Linked DNA regions of Caenorhabditis elegans. The protein of the gene in region 2 interacts with the protein of the main gene of each other region in a pairwise test. Each region holds a gene or a part of one and is shown on either strand. Other genes may lie near its edges.

Region 1 (5,206 bases), on a different chromosome or scaffold from region 2:
AAAGATTTTAAATTTAATAAAAATGCTTGAATTCCAAAAATCTCTCTTGAAAATTGATTTTTTTTCTTTATTAATCGCTTAAAATTCAATTTTCCTACTAGAAAAATTAAAAAAAAAATACACAGAAAAGAAAGGAAATCGTCTAGAAAGTGGTAAAAAACAGTAATTTCAACCGAAAATCGATTATTACAGCACTTTTGTGTCCGATTGGCGCAGTGAGATTCTCGTCGCCCACCAATCACAAGACCGGGGTTCAAGCTCGCGCTGTGGCAAAAATTTTTTTCAGCTTTTCATTCGATTTGCCATAACTAGTAAAGTACTTCCCGAGTCGAAAACCTATTTTTTCGAAAAATTTCAGAAAAAAAACACAATTTTTTACTTATAAAACGTTTATTTTCGCAAGCACGGAGGGTTGGAGATGGGAGGAGCTTGTAATAAATTAGAATAATTAGGAGGAATTGGGGGGAGCTGAAACAGAAGTTGGGGTAAGAATGATGGGATTGAACAAAGAATTATTAGAAAAATGAGAGATAAAGGGGTGGGGCTAGAAATAGGGGGGCGGAGTTTATTACACAGAAAGAAAACCAAAAAAATTGATAATTCTTATTAGTTAAAGAATTAGGCGTGGGGTGGGATTTTAGGGGGGGGGGGGGATTAGAAAATTTAAAAGAGCAAGTACGCTCTACTGCAAATAATAGCTGTTGGAGCCCATCATCAGTGAAGTGTTGTTGTTCGGTAACTGTGGAGACCAAATCGGATGCGAGTGAAGCATGTCGAGCTCGTGAAACTGATGATGATGGTCGAGAGCCGATTGGTAGCTGAGCGACGAGTTGAAGAGACTCTGAAAATGGAGGGAAATTTGAATTTTTTAATTGAAAAAATAAAAAAAAGCTACTGAAAACTGCTTTTTGAACACTTGAAACTATGAAAAAAGCATTAAAATTTAGATTTCTGGCAGTTTGCAGCAAAATGTCCAAATGGCGCAGTGGGATTTTCGTCGGCTTCCAATCTCAAGACCGGGGTTCGACTCCCCGTCGTATCAAAATTTTTTGTTTCGTTGCGATTAGGTTTTACAGTGTGCTCAGATGTCATGGGGAATCGGTATTAATCGAAAATTTAGGGATTTTCGAAGTTTTTCAAATTTTTTCCCATGTTTTCCGCGAGGAAAAATAAATTTATCAAAGATTTTCGAGCTCAGGACACTAAAATTAACCTAATCGCACTTCGAAAAAAAAAGTTGCCACAGTGGGGACACGAACCCGGGTCTTAAAATTGGCAGGCACATGGGAAATCCCACTGCGCCATATGGACATTTTTCGCAGAAATCTGGATTTTTGGAAAGAGAAACCGGAATTTGATGAGAAAAATTGTTGAAGGCTGATTTTTAAGTAGTTTAAAGATGAAAAAGTTCACTTTTAGTGGAAAAATTGAGCAAAAAAAAAAAAGTCAATTTTGGTTCAAAATTTCCGTTTTTTTTTCTGGATTTTCTCAAATTTGAAATTTTTTAAATTTACCGAAAAAACGTCGCAATTCTCCTGATCGACGAGCGAGTCAGTCTCGTAACCGGACGAGGACGGAGATCCCGGGCGGCGCGTCAAAGAGCTCAGGCTCAGATGGTGGTGGTGATGGTGCTCCGACGAAGAATGCACCGAATCGAGATGATGATTCGCCGTTGGCTTACGATACTTCAGGTTGGTCACCACATTCTTCTCGCTACGATCCTTCTTCTTCAACTCCAACAGGGTCACCGGAACCGGGACACCGCCGGAAATCACCGAAGATTGGCTTGATTCCTGAAAAAATCGATAATTTTTAATGGAAAAATCGAACCCAGAGCTATTTGTTTGGCTTAAAAATCGATAACTTCCGCTATTTTGAGGATTTTTCAAAAAAGTGCCCAAATGGCTCAGTGGGATTTTCGTCGGCTGCCACTGCCACGAGACCGGGGTTCGAGTCCCCACTGTGGCAAAATCTTTTTGTTTTTTGAAGCATTGTTCTAAAAGGGCTTGGGACTGCGAAAATCAGGCTTTAAGCCGAAAATTCGGTTAAAAAAGCTCAAAAATTACATTTTTTGAGTAAAAACTGGGAAAAATCTGAAATTTCAGTCAAATTTTTGATGTCCGCATGTGTTAAAGCTTTCGCTTAAACAGCTTAAACAAAGCTTAAACAAAAAAAAAGTTGCCACAGTGGGGACTCGAACACTGTTCTTGTGATTGGTGGCAGGTTGTGGAAAATCCCACTACGCCACTCGACCAATTTTTCAAAATTAAGAGAAAATTATCGATTTTTGCGGGATTTTTGGGTTTTCGAGGGTGCTGAGCACGAATTTTCGGTTTTGAAAGCTTTTTTTAAACAGTTTTATTGGAAAAATCCAACTTTTTAAAGAGAAAAAATCAATTTTAGGGTTCAAAAAAATGATTTTTAAAACAAAAATCTATACCTTTGCCTTGATCTCCAAGTGTTGCACATAACCATTCGGTTGCTTTGGCTTCAACGTGAGAATCTGCTTGCGGACGCCTCCGGTTGACGATGATGACGTGGCGGTTGTCGATGACGTCAGAGACGATGAGGTGGACATGTTTCCGCGGTGATCCATGTAGAGTTTTGGATAATGGAATGGCATTATGCACGTGGCGTGATGACAATGGTTCGATGATCGCTGAAAAAAAGGAGAAAAATTAGAAAATCGGCGGGTAGATCAAAAAAAAAATTTTTTTTCGAAAATTTGTTTTAGTGATAAATAAATTTTGGGCATAATTTTTTTATTTTTTGAACAAAAACTTATTCAATTAAACTCTAACTCCATGGAAGTTATGCAAAAAATTTGAAAATTTCCGACAAAATTTAAAATTTAATCTAAAAGTCAATATTTTTCACTAAATTCTCAAGAAAACCAACAAAATTTGATAAAAAATCGAAAAAACTTACATTTTCGTCGAAAAATAAATGGAAATTGACCCATTTTTCTCCTCTTATATGCTAAAATCACCGTGGGAAAATTGGAAATTCCCACGGCAAAAGCGTGGGAAACTGTGCGCTTTCGCGTGGCGGTGTCACACAATGTATTGACTACAGTAGTCCTTTTAGTGGGAATTGCAAATTTTCGGGATCTTCTTCGCGAAAAAAGAAATCCACTGAAGACGCCACTGAGGAAATACTGAAATAAATTGGAAATACAAGATAAACAAGTAAAAACTACAGAAAAAACCTTGAAAATTCAAAGAAAATTGGTAATTATCGTCGAAAAAAACACAAATATTATTTTAAAAAAAGCCGGAAAAACTATTTTTCATTAAATTTCGGCAGAACACACTGCTAATAAAAAACATGCCAACATAATTTTATTGGACCCTTAATCTCTGAGAATCGACAGAAAACAGCGCAAATTCGAGAGATTTCGACTAACAACTCCGGAATTCAAAAATTATCGATTTTTTCAGAGGGAAATTTTCTTCAAATTCCGAAAAACAGACAAAATCGAAAACATGTCTCAAATCTACTAAAATCGATAAATTCTAAAAATTGGTGGCCTTAAGATTTCTAGGCCATCAACTTTAAACCCGTGTAACTCGCCTGAAAACCAGCCCTATCCTAATAATAGCAAAAAATTCAAATTTCCCCAAACTACACAAATCCTACAGTACTCTTACTAATAATACTAATAATACAGTATAACAAAGTACCTCTCCCTTATCACCCACCAACTCCCAACCTAATACCTCTTCAAATGGTAAAATTCAAAATTTCCAAACTAGGGTCACCTACTGAAAATGCAAAACGGACAAAATCACTAAATTGTGGTCTGTTTTTATAGATTTAAGCAAGATTTCAGCAAAGCGGCGACGACTCCTAGAAAAAAAGAAAAAAAGGGGAAATTAGGGGGAAAATAGGAGAAAATGAGGGAGAAAATACGGTTATGTTAACTGCGGTCAACGTACAGTGCTGGCCAAAAAGATATCCACTTTTGGTTTTTTGTGTGTAACTTTTTTCTCAAGCATCCATTTGACTTGAATTTTTCCGTGTGCATAAAGCGAAATGTTACGCAAATTTGCGGACCAAACATTACATGATTATCGATTTTTTCTGAATTTTATTTCAATTTTTTGATTTTTTCGTTTTTCCAATTTTCATTATTTTTTTTGAATTATCAATAAAACGCACTCTGTTTGTTGCTCTGGATTTGTTTGGTTGATAAATTATTTTTAAGGTATGGTAAAATCTGTTGGGTGTAAAAATCTTTCCTTGGACGTCAAGAAAGCCATTGTAGCTGGCTTCGAACAAGGAATACCCACGAAAATGCTCGCGCTGCAAATTCAACGTTCTCCGTCGACTATTTGGAAAGTAATCAAGAAGTACCAAACTGAGGTGAGTTCGAAAAATATTATTTTTTAATAATAAATGTTTAGAAATCCGTCGCTTTGAGAATCTCGCCCGGCAGGCCTCGAGTGACAACCCATAGGATGGATCGCAACATCCTCCGATCAGCAAGAGAAGATCCGCATAGGACCGCCACGGATATTCAAATGATTATAAGTTCTCCAAATGAACCTGTACCAAGTAAACGAACTGTTCGTCGACGTTTACAGCAAGCAGGACTACACGGACGAAAGCCAGTCAAGAAACCGTTCATCAGTAAGAAAAATCGCATGGCTCGAGTTGCGTGGGCAAAAGCGCATCTGGTCTGACGAAAGCAAGTTCAATTTGTTCGGGAGTGATGGAAATTCCTGGGTACGTCGTCCTGTTGGCTCTAGGTACTCTCCAAAGTATCAATGCCCAACCGTTAAGCATGGAGGTGGGAGCGTCATGGTGTGGGGGTGCTTCACCAGCACTTCCATGGGCCCACTAAGGAGAATCCAAAGCATTATGGATCGTTTTCAATACGAAAACATCTTGGAAACTACAATGCGACCCTGGGCACTTCAAAATGTGGGCCGTGGCTTCGTGTTTCAGCAGGATAACGATCCTAAGCATACTTCTCTTCATGTGCGTTCCTGGTTTCAACGTCGTCGTGTGCATTTGCTCGATTGGCCAAGTCAGTCTCCGGACTTGAATCCAATAGAGCATTTGTGGGAAGAGTTGGAAAGACGTCTTGGAGGTATTCGGGCTTCAAATGCAGATGCCAAATTCAACCAGTTGGAAAACGCTTGGAAAGCTATCCCCATGTCAGTTATTCACAAGCTGATCGACTCGATGCCACGTCGTTGTC
Region 2 (3,600 bases):
TTTTTTACGACAGAAATTTTTTTTTAATTGACTTTTTTTCAAGTTTCAGCCGATAGCGACGAAGAAGAATGGTCCGATGACAGCTGGGAGTTTGCATACAACTGCAAGTAAATTGTGAGTTTTTCAGGATTGTGTGCACGTTTTTTTGTTAAAAACTTTAAATTTTTTTATAATTTCAGACTGGGTTAACAATTGCTAATTTTGTTTTGCCGTGCCAGGCCGTGTTAAGTGATCTCCCTATTTCATCACATCTGCTAATTTAGTTTTTGAATAGTTTTTTTGTTGTTCCCCATTTAATGTTATTTTCCCTTTAGTTTATAATTTTTAATAAGTTTTTAAAAATATTACAAAAATAAAATCAAAATAAGCCTAGAAATTTATGATCTACAGTAGTTTGTTGTGCAAAGTTGCTAGTGTGCCTGAGATTTTGAGATACTGTAGCTGGCTGCAAACTTTTAAATTTGAATTTTTGCGCGCGCGAATTTTCGGATTTTTAGTTATAACTAGTTTTTCCTTCGTTCTTATCGGTTTCTTTTGATTTTTCTTCGATTTTTCGGTTAAAAATCTTCAATTTTTCGGTTTAAAATGTCTCTTTCATGTTAAAATTAAAATATATTTATTAGTTTTGTTTCAGACCAGAATGGCCGACGAGGAGGATCCGTGCGGCGGTGGGAAGAAAAACCCTCGGAAACGATGCCAACCAGATGTGGATCCAGAAGAGGATAGTGAACCAGATTTGGACGGGCCACAGCCACCGTTTCGAGGACGCAGCAGCACTGTCACCGACGCCGTTCGACAAACGGCCATGGAATTTCGAAAGCGTGCACGAAGTGACGAATTCCGTCCGGCTCAGCAACCTGAACAGAGTGTCGTTGCCGTGAAGCCACCGACGACGTCGGCGCCAGTTACACCATTTCCTGCTAACCTTCCAGTCAGCGAGCAACTCGAAGACTTGAGTCTCCTGCCCGGTGTACGTAGAGTACGGCCACTTCCAAGAAGCAGATATCCGGTTGCAAATGATCCATTTGATAAATTCAGCGCGTATTCCGGTCCTGGCTCGAGTCAGCAAGCGGTTCCACGGACTATCAGCAAAATCAGTGAAGAATCTGGAAGTGGAAGTGGAAGTGGAAGTGGAAATGATAGTAGTGGAAGTAGTGGACCCACGAGGATGAGCGGTCAAGGTAAATATTTACGTAAATTCTATTTTTCCGGGGGTTTTAGAATTAATTTTCTTTTTCCAAAAAAAAAAAAAATTTCAGTTCCATCAACGTCCGGCCCACCACCACCACGACCACCGCCTGCTGGTCATCAAAATCCATTTCTGGGCAATCAACCGTCCACCTCAAACACGTCGGAGCCAAGCACATCCACGCAAGGCGTCTCCCCGTCTCGTACATCAAAAATTTCGAAAAAGAAGGCTCATCAGGCTGGGCTTCACTCGAAGGGCAGCTCTGAGGACTCTACCGACTCGGGAGAATCGAAACCATCGAGCAAGCAGCCACCGAAGAAGAGTCCAAAGTCCAACAAAAATGGTAAAGAAAATGGAAAAATGATATTTTTATCGCTGATTTTTTTCAGATCCAAACGCTCCTGGACCTTCGCGTAGACGTGATGACGACGACGATGGGGTGCAAGGTGGAAGCTCTGAAGGCTCATCTGAATCTCTTTAATTCTTGTATTTCTAACATTACATTCTTCTGTGCTATTCAACTTATTATTGTTTATTTTATTTTCTCTCATTCCTCACCGACTAAATGACATTCGTGTATATATAAACACTTCTGTGTGATTTTTTTTTCGTCGCTTGATTTCGCTGATTAAAGAATTTATTAATTTTCTTTTGACCTCAAGAGTTGTTGCTCTTTAAATTAATATCTTCAATTTTTGTGCCAAAATTTTGTTTTTGTTTTATGTAATGTAGCTCAATTTTCAGTGTGACCTTCTTCACCTCAGCAGCCATTATGTATTCTCATCCAGCACTGCTACAGGTGATTTCTCCTAGTTAGACCAATTTTTAAATTAAAAAATTGAAATTTACAGTTCCCTCTAATGTCCACCGACGCCTTCTACTCGACCGCTTTTCCAACAATCCCGGGAACTCCGAATCTTTTGGGATACACTGCGTACAGTCCACAGGTGCGCGGAAATCGCCGGCGAGCAATTCTAAAAAGCTTGTATTTCAGTAAAGCAATTGAAAAATTGCCTGAAAGTTAAAAAATTACAGGGTTTTTCGACACTTTCCGACAATATTTGAGCGTTTTCCAAGTGCTTCAGCTGAAATAAAAGCTATTTCCAGATAAACCAAATTTTTTTTTGTTCTTTCACTAAATTTGACTAGATTTTTTTCTTAATTTTAATATATTTTTCCAGTCGATCTTCAATGATTCCCGGCCGGCTTCTTCGGTAAATAACACTCCATCCACATCGTTCAATAGCTCAATTCATTCCAGAAATCGGTCGATTGCAATGGTTCGTTATAACAAATATTCGCTTTTTTACATTTCAATGCATATTTTCAGCTCCATTCAATATCGCACATCCTTTCCAATGACGACTCGCTGGGCTCGACAACGGAGAGCAGTACACCGAGCACGCCGGAAATTCATCCGAGCAATGCACCTGCAAAGGTTGGTTTCGACTCCTGGAAAGTTAAATTTTAGAAATATTATTTTTTTTTGCAGAAGACGATTCCACTTGTGTTGATATCGGATACCGATGAGGAATGTGACAAGAAAAGCAGAAAACGGAGGATTCGCTCGAAATCTTCGAAGAAGTCTCGCGGGATCCGTAAGAGCAGGAAACACGAAGCATCAGACTACCGAAAGAAGATTATGCTGGGAACTTTTGAAGGCAGAAAAATCGTGCTGAAGCTGATGAAATAATTTTAACACCCTCACCCCCTCATATGCATCCTACAAAGCTGAATAGTCGCTTATTTTTTATGTATATCGTTTATTTATTTTTAGTTTATTATTGACTCTGTTAACCCCAATATAAGCTGGATATTTATAGTTTAAACGTCAAATTCAAATAAAATTAACTTTTTAATGAAAAGAGATTTCTTTCGAGAAAGTTAAAATAAATAGGTGACAAACAAATGAAAAGAATACACTTGGAATGATAGAAAGCTAAAAATAATTAGAAAATATGAAAGATCATTCATCATCGGGAATCTCTTCCTTGACAACAACGCCCGTACTGGATTCCTCATCTTCGTGTCGAGATCTGGAGCTCTTCTCTTTTCTCTCTTTCCGACCGCTGCTGCTCTCCTCTTCCTCATCACCACGACGACTTCTCTTCTTCCGATCTTCATCATCTCCACGCCGTTCTCTCCGTTTCTCTCGTTCCCGATCATCTCGCTTTCTGCGCCGATCTCCAGACGCACTTCGGCTTCTATGTCTTCTGGAAGACGTGCGATCCGATTCTCGTTCTCCACGGCGTCTCGTCTCTCGATCTCTCCTGTCCCTGTCTCTATCTCTATGTGGGCTCCTTGATCGGGATCGCTTCCGTCGGGAGCTTCTTCTCTCCTCATCGTCATCACTAACCGTCGAAAATGCACCAGATCCCATGAGACTTCGCGGAGCTGAAGCAGCGCCAACT

What was found.
Region 1: the proteins of neg-1 (region 2) and sygl-1 interact in a two-hybrid assay, tested with the Caenorhabditis elegans proteins (one large-scale study listed by BioGRID).

The regions. Positions count from the first base shown.
Region 1 is NC_003279.8:12,481,634-12,486,839, reverse strand, and holds sygl-1 (Ecdysone-induced protein 74EF), read right to left. Parts: upstream 3,032-5,206; 5' UTR 2,929-3,031; intron 2,660-2,928; 5' UTR 2,624-2,659; coding exon 2,441-2,623; intron 1,794-2,440; coding exon 1,515-1,793; intron 842-1,514; coding exon 683-841; 3' UTR 605-682; downstream 1-604.
Region 2 is NC_003283.11:4,373,208-4,376,807, reverse strand, and holds neg-1 (Negative Effect on Gut development), read left to right. Parts: upstream 1-1,933; 5' UTR 1,934-1,961; coding exon 1,962-1,988; intron 1,989-2,040; coding exon 2,041-2,136; intron 2,137-2,370; coding exon 2,371-2,469; intron 2,470-2,519; coding exon 2,520-2,627; intron 2,628-2,681; coding exon 2,682-2,882; 3' UTR 2,883-3,046; downstream 3,047-3,600. Other genes in the region: F32D1.8 (BSD domain-containing protein), read left to right, coding at 50-111; F32D1.7 (Protein lilliputian), read left to right, coding at 641-1,181, 1,260-1,532, 1,579-1,670; fipp-1 (Pre-mRNA polyadenylation factor Fip1 domain-containing protein), read right to left, coding at 3,156-3,600.